Cricetulus griseus: one gene and its partners. The protein of the gene in region 3 purifies or fractionates together with the protein of the main gene of each other region. This does not show direct contact. Links are inferred from orthologs where the notes say so. Each region holds a gene or a part of one and is shown on either strand. Other genes may lie near its edges.

Region 1 (4,134 bases), on a different chromosome or scaffold from region 3:
TCATTCTTTGCACTGTGATCCTTCTCTCCTAGGCATGAGGGGAGCCAAGCTGAGAGTGGGGAGCCCATGTATGTGGGAAGTAGGGACATCCTCTATTATGCACCACACCTTGCTGTAGCGACAGCCTCTTTGGTATAAAGCTCTGGCCTGAGGCTGGCAGGTACCTTGCTCGGGATCCTGCAGCATACTGTGCAGATTCCTCCCTTGGTACTTTCTACCCTAACCCTATTCAGTCATCTTCTGTATGTGCCTACACTGAATATCTCCTCTGGAGGACAGTGTGTCTTTTCACAGCACAGTGTTAAACACATGGTAAACACACAGTGCAATTTTGCAAAATAAACAGTGACTTAGCATTGCTGGGGTGTTTTAGTGGAGAAACGATAAACTGCAGATTTACTAGGGCCCAGCCTGCACTCCAGTCACAATCGTACAGGAACTGCCTGATGATGACCCAGCAAAAACTCCAGCTGCTTCAACTGAGAGGCACAAAGAAGGGTGTTGCTTAAGTGTGTTTAAAAAAACATCTCATGCCCCCTCTTAACACATAAATGGCAATTCCCTTTCCTCTAGGACAATCTGATTTGGTCCCTTCCTAACTGCCCTCCCCTGTGAGCTAAAATTACTATTTCTGCCAATTTTAACCAATCAAAGAGTTATTTTGTTTGTTTTTGTGATAAAGTCTCACATGTCCCAGGCTGACCTAGAACCTGCCAGGTGGCATAGGATGGCCTTGAACCCTTGCCTTCATTACCCCAAGTCCTGGAGTGACAAGTGTGTTACTATGCCTGGCATTACACCTCGTGAACTCCCTGCAAGGTACAATTCAGTCTCAGACATAAGTTGTCCTGAGATCAGCGACTACTTCATCTAGTGACGAAGGTAGACAGTCATACTTTTACATGTGCCAACAATCACAAGACTGATATGTTCCTGTCACTGGAAATGGCAGAGGCTTAAGTGACTTCCCAATCGACATGAAGAGCTCATTTTGGGCGGGAGTGGGAAGAATTCCTCCTTGTACATTGGAGGTGCAACTCACAGGACCAATTAGAGACCCCGAATGGGTGCCACTTCTGGTCAGTGTCTGAAGACAGATGTTCCATACATTTTAGAAGAATACAGAAACAAAAAAAGGTGGATGACTACTTGCAAAATAAAAGTGACTTCTAGGAACTAATGTGGACTCATTTGAGTTGCTGAGAACCAGAATGTGGGAAGACACATCAGAAAATGGGGCCAAGAGAGCTTGACCAGAAGCAGAAAAGCTGGTCTGGATAGTGCTCAGTTTCTCAGGCTGTATAGAAGGAGGGTCACTGTGTCAGACTGAGGACAGAACTGTTCAAAGGGAAAAATTGTTGTGGGATGATACTTCTGGCCTCTTCCTCCTCTTTAAGGCCAGCCCTGTCTGTTTCAGCCATACCCTTGTACTTTGCCACGGTTCCCCCTGCCGCAATCTCTGTGTTACACAAAAGGGCATGTGCATGAACATCTACCTCAGTGATGTTATCCTTGTTTAACATCTGAACAATGGGTCATTTTTTTGAACCATTCTTATGGGGCCCATGGCCTCCGAACTGTGTAGCGGTTGTGCTCTGCTGAAGTCAAAGGGAAGGTGGAACAGACACCTGTGAAACAGGCATCGATGCCAAAACTCGGAGCTCAAGAGGATGGTCTAGCTAAGACGATGCCAAATCCCTCCACTGTTTCCCACCCACATGACGAAGGGCCTTCCAGCCCCTTCCAACTCTGCGCCTCATAACCGAAGACACCATCTCTCCAGGCTCGTGGACCGGCCCTGTACTGCCCTGTCTCTGCCCACGTCCTATGAAACCCTCGTTAACTCAACTCACAAAAGCACAGAATACCTGGCCAGGCAGGAGAAACACGGTCGGCTAAGCACCTGCATTCGAATTTCCGTTTCCACCAGGTTGCCACAACCTTTCTGTTCGACCATATGGCTACTCGTGTACCTGTCTGCTTTCCTTATCACAGCCACTGAACTGTGAGCACTGTCTTCCCACACTTTCTCGCCGAGACAGATCCTCGGCGAGTTAACTTCGCCGGGCCGCCTGCTTTTCTTTTCTACCAGATAATAACTATAACAGCAACTACCCCACGGGCTTGCAGTGCGGACCGAATCATTCCTACACCGGGCTGTGTACAGCGCCAGCGGGGCTGGACAAACGAGAGCAGCCCTCGCGCGCCGCCTGGGGAGGGCTGGGCACATAGTGGGTGCTCAGTGTCTGCGGAATCGACGACGGACACCTCCCAGGTGCCGCCAGGCCGCTGGGGGAGCTGGGGGAGGGAAGCACCAGCCCGGGCGCTGAGGAAGGAGCCCGGCCCGGGGACGCGCGGACCGGGAACTTGGCGCGGGTCGGCCTCCGGGGCGCGGACGGCGGTTCCCGGCGCCCGGCTCCACCCGGTGCGGTAGGCCCCGGCGGACCTCGCGGCCGCTCGCCGCAGCCCCAGGACCGCAGGCCCGGAAGCCCTCCTGGGGCCTGCGGCGCTGCGTGCTGGGCCCCGGCTTCCGGGCCCGAGGCCGCGCGGCCAAGCGCGCGGGCCGCCCTTACCGGAGCCGCGGCCGCCTCGGCCATGGCCTGCGCTGTCCTGCCCGGCGCGGAGGAAGTCGACGCCGCGGCGCGCGGCCCCACGCAGGCCCGGCCGCCGGGTCCTCTCCGCGGCAGCGCCGCTCCTTCCCCGCCGCGCTCCTCGCAGGCTGGCCTCCCGCCGCTCGCCCGCCCGCCCGCAGCCGCAGCCGCAGCCGCACCGCCACCGTCAGCGCCCGGCCGCTCCACACTGCATCCTGGGAGCCGGCGCCGCGGCCAGGCAGACGAAGGCCCGTGAGGCTTCCTGGAGGCAGCGCGGCGGCACAGCTCCACTGCAGCTCGAGCGCGCGAACGGCAGCGCCGGCACCCGCCCGCCCGCCTGCCCGCCCGCCGCTGCTGCCGCCGGCCCGGCCCCGCCCTCCTCACGAGGCCCCGCCCCGGCCCAGCCTCCCGGCCCGCCCCCCGAGCGTCGCCCCGCCCGCCCCTTGCGGTCCCGTGGCGCTAGCCGTGCGACTGGAGAGACTGCCTGCCAGAACTGTCAACTCGGCGGCGGCCACCCGGTTCGGCGGTCTAAAACTTGGGCCCAGGGCTTCGGCGGGCAATGAGCACCCCTGGCTCGGACACTTCTGCAACAGCAGCACGCCTATCTTCGCCTTGAAGGGGAATTAATACCTCCAATAACAGAAAAATGGCTTGATAAGTCACAGGAGGCATCGTGTAGGATATTCTATAATATGTATTATAATAAACTACTACTCATGTTTACGTATCCATCCCCCCCATTCCCTCGCCCTCCCATCCTCCCACGTTCCCCACCAACCCCCTAACCCACCCCCCACCTCCACCCGAGGCATAGTGAGGCCTTCCTTCCACGGGGGACCTTAAAAGTCTGTTATATCATTTGGGGGAGGGCCCAGGCCCTCCTTGCTGTATCTGGGCTGCAACAGTATCCCTCCATAGGGAGTGGGCTCCCAAAGTCCATTTGTGCTCTAGGGATAAACACTGGCTCCACTGTGAGAGGTCCCATAGACTGTCTTGGCCTCCCAGCTGGCACCCACATTCAGAGGGCTTGGTTGGGTCCAATGCTGTTTCCCCAGATTTACGACTAGGGTCTCTGTGCTCTCACTTCGGCAGGTCAACTGTTTCTGCGGGTATCTCCAGCACCGTCTTGGCTCCTTTGCTCATCCCTCCTCCCTCTCCACAACTGGATTCCAGGAGTATGGTTCAGTGCTTAGCTGTGGGTGCCTGCTTCTGCTTCGAACAGCTACTGCATGAAGGCTCTAGGCTCTAGGTAACCAAGGTAGGCGCCAATCTCTATAATAAACATTTTAATGACGTGAAAAATGGAATAAAATGCTATCGTTTAAAATGTTTTGAATGGAGCTGGAGGCACTTGCTGTTCTTGTAGAGGGTTGGGATTTGGTTCCCAGCACCCACATGGTAGCTCACAACCGTCTCTAAATAAGTCCAGTTTCCGTATATCCGACCCCCTCCTGTGGTGTACCTGGACACCATATACGCACCAAAAGATATTGATTTTATACACACACACACACACACACACACACACACACACACATATGTG
Region 2 (3,647 bases), on a different chromosome or scaffold from region 3:
GACTAAGTACACATGTGGTGCACATTCATACATGCAAGCAAAACATTCACATACATAAAATAAAATTGAAGGGGGGAGGCTAGAGGGATGGCTGAGTGGTTAAGAGCGCCGATTACTCTTCCAGAGGACCCAGGTTCAATTCCCAACTGCTCTTGCAGTCAGCTCAGCACCCATCCACATGGTGGTTCACAACTGTCTGTAATTCCAGTTCCAAGGGATATGAAACCTTCACACAGACATACATGCAGGCAAAATACCAATGAGCATAAAATAAAAATAAATATAATCTATAAAAATATAATCTTCAAAAATAAAACAAAAACCATAAAACGCAATAACATTGCCTAGAACCAATGATTCTTCCAAAAATAACTAACTTTGTAGATAGTTTTAAAAACACTAAGACAGCCGAGCGGTGGTGGCACATGCCTTTAATCCCAGCACTCGGGAGGCAGAGGCAGGTGGATCTCTGTGAGTTTGAGACCAGCCTGGTCTACAAGAGCTAGTTCCAGGACAGCTTCCAAGCCACAGAGAAACCCTGTCTTGAAAAACTAAAATAATAATAATAATAGTAATAATAATAAAAAAACACTAAGAGGCTGGGCGTTGGTGGCGCATGCCTTTAATCCCAGCACTCGGGAGGCAGAGGCAGGTGGATCTCTGTGAGTTCAAGGCCAGCCTGGTCTCCAGAGCAAGTGCCAGGATAGGCTCCAAAGTTACAAAGAGAAACCCTGTGTTGAAATCCCACCACCACCACCAAAAACCATTAAGACTTTAATTCTAAAAGGTGCCCTTATCACCCTATACTCCCCTCAGACAAGGGGGCATTTAAAGGAGGTCTGTCAATAGTGGCAAGAGGCAAACGACCCCCTATAAATTGAGCAGCATTCTCAATTTATAAATTGGACCATTCTGCCCTGTCCAGTCAACTGAGGGCAGCCAGTCCCACTGCTTAAGAGCCTCCACCCTAGGAGACAGGAGCCTCAGGCCTGCACAACAAAATCTAAGCAGACCTCCCACAGTCATTGTCCATTGACACCAGAGCATCAATCACAGTACTTGAAGCTGAGCCCTGGGCACCAGACATAAAAGAGGACCAGAATCAACAGGAAAGACCTAATTTTGAAGAGAAAAAGCAAACAGCAAGTCACAAAACCTCAGGCTACACCCATGATTTTAGGTAACAGTAGGAAGGAAGTCAATAACTAAGTAGTGATACAAGGCTTTTGCCTTCACTTCAGATAAGTTTAAATGTTTTAACAAGTACTTCTGAGAGAAATCCCACAGGCAGGCTTCCCCTTGGGCTGTGCGCACTCTCAAGACAGTGGTATCTTTATCCAGAACCTATCCTAGGTCACCTGCTGCTCCCGTGGGCATCAGCTGGAGATCTCAGTCTGCAGTCACTCACTACACCATGATTTCAGGGCCCTGCTGAGGATTCCACCGAGAGAGCTTCCCTCTGGGGTGGCCTGAAAACAAATTCCCAAGCCCACAACTGTTGCTTCAGCAACTGGCACTCTCACCCTTTAGTCTTTCCATCCTCTTCAGGGTAATAGTCATTTATGATTTTTCCAAACTTGGAGAAGATCTTGTGGATGACATTTTTGAGCTTCTCAAGCCGATCCGGTCCCACCTGAGGAACGTTGTCTACAACAATCACTGAGTCGATCCCATCTGCTTCCTGAGGCCGATCCTTGAGTATATCACCAAGTAATTCTGAAGGAGTAAAAGAAATGTCAAGTGGTTTCTATTGAAGCCAACTAGCTCTCACCTCTTAGCTAGCAGGCTGATTATGTCTAAGAGGCATCTACTCTAAGGGCTTTCATCATGAACAAAGAAATCATGACCTAACTTAAACAACAAAGAATCAAAAAGGCTAATCCCCACACTCCTTTTGATGGGCAGTATTGTCAAAATGTACCCAGTTGTAACTGCTGGGTGAATGCCTTTAATACCATCACTCTGGAAGTGAAGGCAGAAGCAGGTGGATCTCTGAGTTCAAGACCAGCCTGGTATACAGAAGTTCCAGGACAGGCTCCAAAAGCTACACAAAGAAACCCTGTCTCGAAAAAACAAAATAAATGAATGAATGAATATATTTTTAAGAAAAAAAGCAACTTCCAACATACTAAAGTAGTGCTGGGATGGAGGGTCAGTGGGGAAAGTGCCCTGCTGCCCACAAGCATGAGGAACTGATTTCAGATGGCCAGCACCCACAGAAAAACCAAGTGTAAGGTGGGCATGGTGGTTCATGCGTTCAGTCCCAGGACTCAAGAGGTAGGCAGATCTCTGTGAATTCAAGGCCAGCTTGGTATACATGGGAATTAGTAGGACAGCCGAGGTTACACGAGAGAGTCTGTCTCAAGAGTCAGGTGTAGAAGCATGCATCTATAACCCCAAGGCTGTAAGGGCAGAGGTAAAAGGATCTCAGAGGCTTGCTGAAGAAACAGTCTATATGTAACAGTAGCTCCGGGTTCAATTAGAGACCCTATATTAAAATGGAGAGTGGGGTGTAAAGAACATACCTGCCATAAACCTTGGTCTCCACACATACTTGCACACAAAAAACACATGTACACAAGAGAAAGCTGAGCTAGATGTAAGAGTGCTCCCAGCACCTGAGAAACTGGGGCAGAAAGACAGCCATTTTTTGAGGTCACCCAGATCTATACAAGATCCAGATACAGAAGTCTGACCTGGCATGGTAATCCACACCTTTAAACCCAGTACTCAGGAGCCAAAGGTTGACAGATCTGAGTTTGAGGCCAGAATGGTGAGTTCCAGAACAGCCATAGTGAGACTTTCATAGGCTTCATAGTGAGAGTCCGTCTCAAAAAGACCAAAAAGAAAATATATGTGGGGGTGGAGAGATGGCTCAGCAGTTATAAAAACACGTGTTACTTTCCCAGAGAACCAGAGTTCAGCTCCTAGCACCCCCAGAACCATCTGCAACCCTTCAGGGAACCTACTGCCCCCTTCTGGCCTCCAAAGACAATGCATGTATGTGGTACAAGCATACATGGAGGCAAAACATCTACAACAAAAAATAAGAGTAAGGAAAAATAGAACTGGAGAGATGGCTCTGCCATTTTAGAGCACTTGTTGCTCTTTCAGAAGATTAAAGCTCAATGCCAGCACCCACATGGGGGCTCACAGCCATCTATAACTCCAGTTCCAAGGAATCTGATGCTCTCTTCTAAACAATACTCACACACGTGGTGCATACACATGAATGCAGGCATACCTACATACAAAATAACCTAAAAAATAAATTATAAATAACATATATGATTAAAAATAAAAGGAAACTCTGGGCCAGCAGGAAGGCTCAGTATATAGAGAGCACTGTTGTAAAAGCCTGACAATTTGAGTTTCCTCCATTGTGGAAGGAGGAAACCAACTCCTCAATGCTATCCTGACTGCTATACAAATGTGCAGCACAGTACCAACTCACCTCATGACTTCTTGGGGTTTTTTTGTTTTGTTTTCTGAGACAATATGTGTTTCTCTGTGTGTCCCTGTCCGTGGCAGGCCTGGAATGTGCTCTGTAGACCAGGCTGACCTTGTCCTCCTGCCTAACTCCTCCTAAGCGCTGGTATTAAAAGTGTGCACCACTACCACCTGGCAAGCAATGACTTTTCAAAAGG
Region 3 (3,598 bases):
TATCTATAATCCTAGTAGGGAAACTGAGACATGAGGATTATGTTTGAGGGCATCCTGGAGTACACAGCCTTGTCTCAAACAACCCCATCACCATACTTACAATAGATCTGCAGAGCAGGCTCAGCTGTCTGGCAGCAGGTACTAAACTGGACAGAAGGCAGTCATAATTATTTTAAAGACTGGCTTGTTTATAACTTGTATGACCTCAATCAAGTTACTCAATTACCCCAGGATTCACTTTCTCAACAAAGAAATAGGACACCGCATAAGTCTGAGCTGCAAGTGTTAAGCATGTCTGAGACCCATCTGCACAACTCCTGGCAGTAAGAAATGTCCCACAGTTTCTTCCCAGGGCTCAGCACTGCCACTAACATGCTATGCAAATTATGGCAGTTCATTTAAATATCATTTAAACAGACACAGAACATGCAAACGTCCTATGAAGCACACAGTATGTCATGAACACAGGGATTAGAGAACTCAGCTTTAACACTGATGCACCAGGGAAGCATAGTACACAGGACACAGTAGACTGCTGCCAAAGCTACAGATCTGCCCATTAATAATGAGACCACAAATCCAGCTCCAACAAAGACCCTTTACTGAGAGCTCCCTAAAACATCCAGTCCTTGATTTGAACAAGTTTCAACTCAGCTGATGGCTGACTTAGGTAAGGCTTCTTGATGACAAGAATGCTTCCCATCTACAATATCAAAACAGGTTCTTCACTCCTGCATGAGTGTCTTCAGGGCCTCTGTCCCATCTTCTTTAGGGTTCGATTAAGCTACAAGGGAAAGTAAAACTAAGTTAGATGTAGGATCTTTGGGACCTATCCTAAAAGTGTGCACATTCAGGAAGCCTGACTCCTGCAGGCCAGGGAGGGCCACAGAAAGCCAGGTGGCCATAGATCCTCTGTGGCCATAGCCTTTCTCTTGCCTTCACTTGACAAATGCACAGCCTACATTGCCCTGCCCATTTCACAGACAGGACAAGGGTTCAGGGTGGCTAGACCAGTTGCACTTCAGCCTCTCCCTGATAGAACAGTCCCCAATGGGTAAGGCTTAGACAGCTAAATAGTAAAAACAGTGCCACACTGTCACAATCCTGAAGGAGCATGTCCTCTGTCGGAGGACTTCGGGTACTAAGAAAAAGTGGCTCAGAGATAAACGAGGGAGCCCCATAACCTTGTGCTCTTCGGCCTGACATACAAGACATTTCTTAGGGTAAGAGCACCAGGTCTGTCAAACACAGTTTCCAGTCCTCCAGCATGCAGACACTGGCCAGACCTGTCTGAGCTGGAGAACGCCCCAACTGGGAACCAGGGAAGGAGGGACTCAGCAGCAAATCTACCCATATTAGGAAATACCAGGAAGGGTGAGGAGAGCAGCACCCTTTGCAGGGCCACCCGCAGACCAAGATCTTGGAAAGAGATACCCTAGAAAGGGCTGACACAGCAACTCCTGAACCCAATCCACTCTCCAAGCTGCCAGCCAGGCGAGCTTAGAAAGTTAAAGGGCCAATCACACATTTTCTTAAAAAGAAGCATGAGAAAAATTTCAAAGCCTCATCTCTATCCTCAGGTTTGTCAGCCATTCTCTCAAAGGTCTTACCTCTTCAAATTTGTGGATCTGCCGGATAAAGAAATCCCCATAGCGTCTGGCAACCTTGGTGTCTGCAATATGGATCATGTCCTATGGGAGAAAGCAGTCAGAACAGAAGTGGTGGGAAGGGGGGGTGGGGTGGGGAGGTGTAGGGTAGTGATGAAGAAGAGGGCCACCTAGCGTGGAGCCACTTAACTGCAAAGTACAATGGTGCCAAGTGTTAATAACCCCCACAGAGCTCCCGGTACTTGGGGGACAGGGGTGGGGGTGGGATGACAAAAATGCTCTAGTATTTTGCTATGTCCCCGCCCATCCTCTTGATTTTTTACTTTGAAGGTGCCATCCTTCTCAGTCTCCCATTGACCCTGGGCTACCACACTCAGGCTCCTAACACTAATTTTCATGAGCAAAGTTTGGGGGAAGCAGACCAATACCTGTTATTGAGAAACAAAAGCACGAACACACAGGCACATACATGTAATCCTAACACTTGAGAGGCTGATGAAAACAGGACCACCCCTGAGCTACACAGTGACGACTACCCTGCCCTCAACACTCCCTAAACCACCAAAGTCAAAATGGCAGAGCCTTTTAAAGTATGGATGTGGCATTGACTTAATCTGAATACAAGTTTCAGCAAAATGTGACTTGTGGGCTACAGAGATGGTTCAGTGATGGTGATTACCTGTAATCCCAGTATTCCTACTTGGGATGGGAGGTGGAGACATGAGCTTCCAGCACAGCAAAACAAGACAGACCCTGTCTCACCAAGATGGGAGGCGAGAACCAACCCCCAAAAGTTGTCCTCTGACCTCCACATGCACACCAGCACACAGATTCCACACACAAATAACAAAACATAAAATAAAATTTGAGCTGGGCGTTGGTGGTGTGCACCTTTAATCCCAGCACTCGGGACGCAGAGGCAGGCAGATCTCTGTGAGTTCGAGGCCAGCCGGGTCTACAGAGCGAGTGCGAGGACAGGCTCCAAAGCTACACAGAGAAACCCTGCCTTGAAAAGCAAAAAAAAAAAAAAAAAAAAAAATTTTAATGACCAAATTGGGAGAAGCATTTTATTAAACCATCTGCACTGGGACTAGTTGCTACGTCACTAGAAGATGACAAAGTGGGTAGGTTAACGGTACTATCAAAGAAAGTGCACATCGGGCTGGAGAGATGGCTCAGTAGTTAAGAGCACTGATTGCTCTTCCAGAAGACCCAGGTTCAACTCCCAGCAGAACTCTAGTTTCAAGGGACCCAACACTCATGGCAAAAAAAACAATGCACATAGAAACAAATAAATAAAAAAGTGCACATGTCACAAACTGAGAATGAATTCAGAACAGAAGAGGTGTGTGTGTGTGTGCGTGTGTGTGTGTGTGCGTGCGTGCGTGCGTGCGTGCGTGTGTGTGTGTGTGTGTGTGTGTGTGTGTGTAGTTGGGGGGGCGGGTTTTGCAGGCATATGTTGGTGTAGATGTGTACGGCTGTGCATAGGGACCAGAGGCTAATATAGAATGTCTTCTCTTTTTTTTTGTTTTTGTTTTTCAAGACAGGGTTTCTTTGTGTAGCTTTGGAGCCTATCCCGGCACTCGCTCTGGAGACCAGGCTAGTCTCGAACTCACAGAGATCCACCTGCCCCTGCCTCCTGAATCCTGGGATTAAAGGCGTGCGCCACCAACGCCCAGCCTTAGAATGTCTTCTTTTACTAGTCTCCACATTACCCTATTTTTTTATTTTTTAAGATTTTTTTTTGTTTTTTGAGGCAGGGTTTCTCTGTGGCTTTGGAGGCTGTCCTGGAACCAGCTCTTGTAGACCAGGCTAGTCTCAAACTCACAGAGATCTGCCTGCCTCTGCCTCCCAAGGGCTGGGACTAAAGGCGTGCGCCACCACTGCCCAGCTTTTTTTTTTTTTTTAAAGATTTTATTTATTTATTATGCATACAATATTCTGCTTCCATGTATATCTGCACACCAGAAGAGGGCACCAGATCTCATAAG

What was found.
Region 1: the proteins of Eif3l (region 3) and Znf746 purify together in Homo sapiens (affinity purification with mass spectrometry; 3 studies listed by BioGRID and IntAct, counting the BioPlex papers as one, with this or other methods). This does not show direct contact. The link is inferred for Cricetulus griseus from reciprocal best matches to the Homo sapiens genes EIF3L and ZNF746.
Region 2: the proteins of Eif3l (region 3) and Eif3b purify together in Homo sapiens (affinity purification with mass spectrometry; 8 studies listed by BioGRID and IntAct, counting the BioPlex papers as one, with this or other methods). This does not show direct contact. The link is inferred for Cricetulus griseus from reciprocal best matches to the Homo sapiens genes EIF3L and EIF3B.

Annotation. Positions count from the first base shown.
Region 1 is NC_048601.1:99,134,137-99,138,270, reverse strand, and holds the start of Znf746 (zinc finger protein 746), read right to left. Parts: upstream 2,874-4,134; 5' UTR 2,598-2,873; coding exon 2,574-2,597; intron 2,466-2,573; exon of another isoform or gene 1,869-2,465; intron 1-1,868.
Region 2 is NC_048597.1:77,055,014-77,058,660, reverse strand, and holds part of Eif3b (eukaryotic translation initiation factor 3 subunit B), read right to left. Parts: intron 1,717-3,647; coding exon 1,524-1,716; intron 1-1,523.
Region 3 is NC_048595.1:376,208,036-376,211,633, reverse strand, and holds the end of Eif3l (eukaryotic translation initiation factor 3 subunit L), read right to left. Parts: intron 1,692-3,598; coding exon 1,611-1,691; intron 785-1,610; coding exon 746-784; 3' UTR 579-745; downstream 1-578. UniProt on the Homo sapiens protein: Component of the eukaryotic translation initiation factor 3 (eIF-3) complex, which is required for several steps in the initiation of protein synthesis.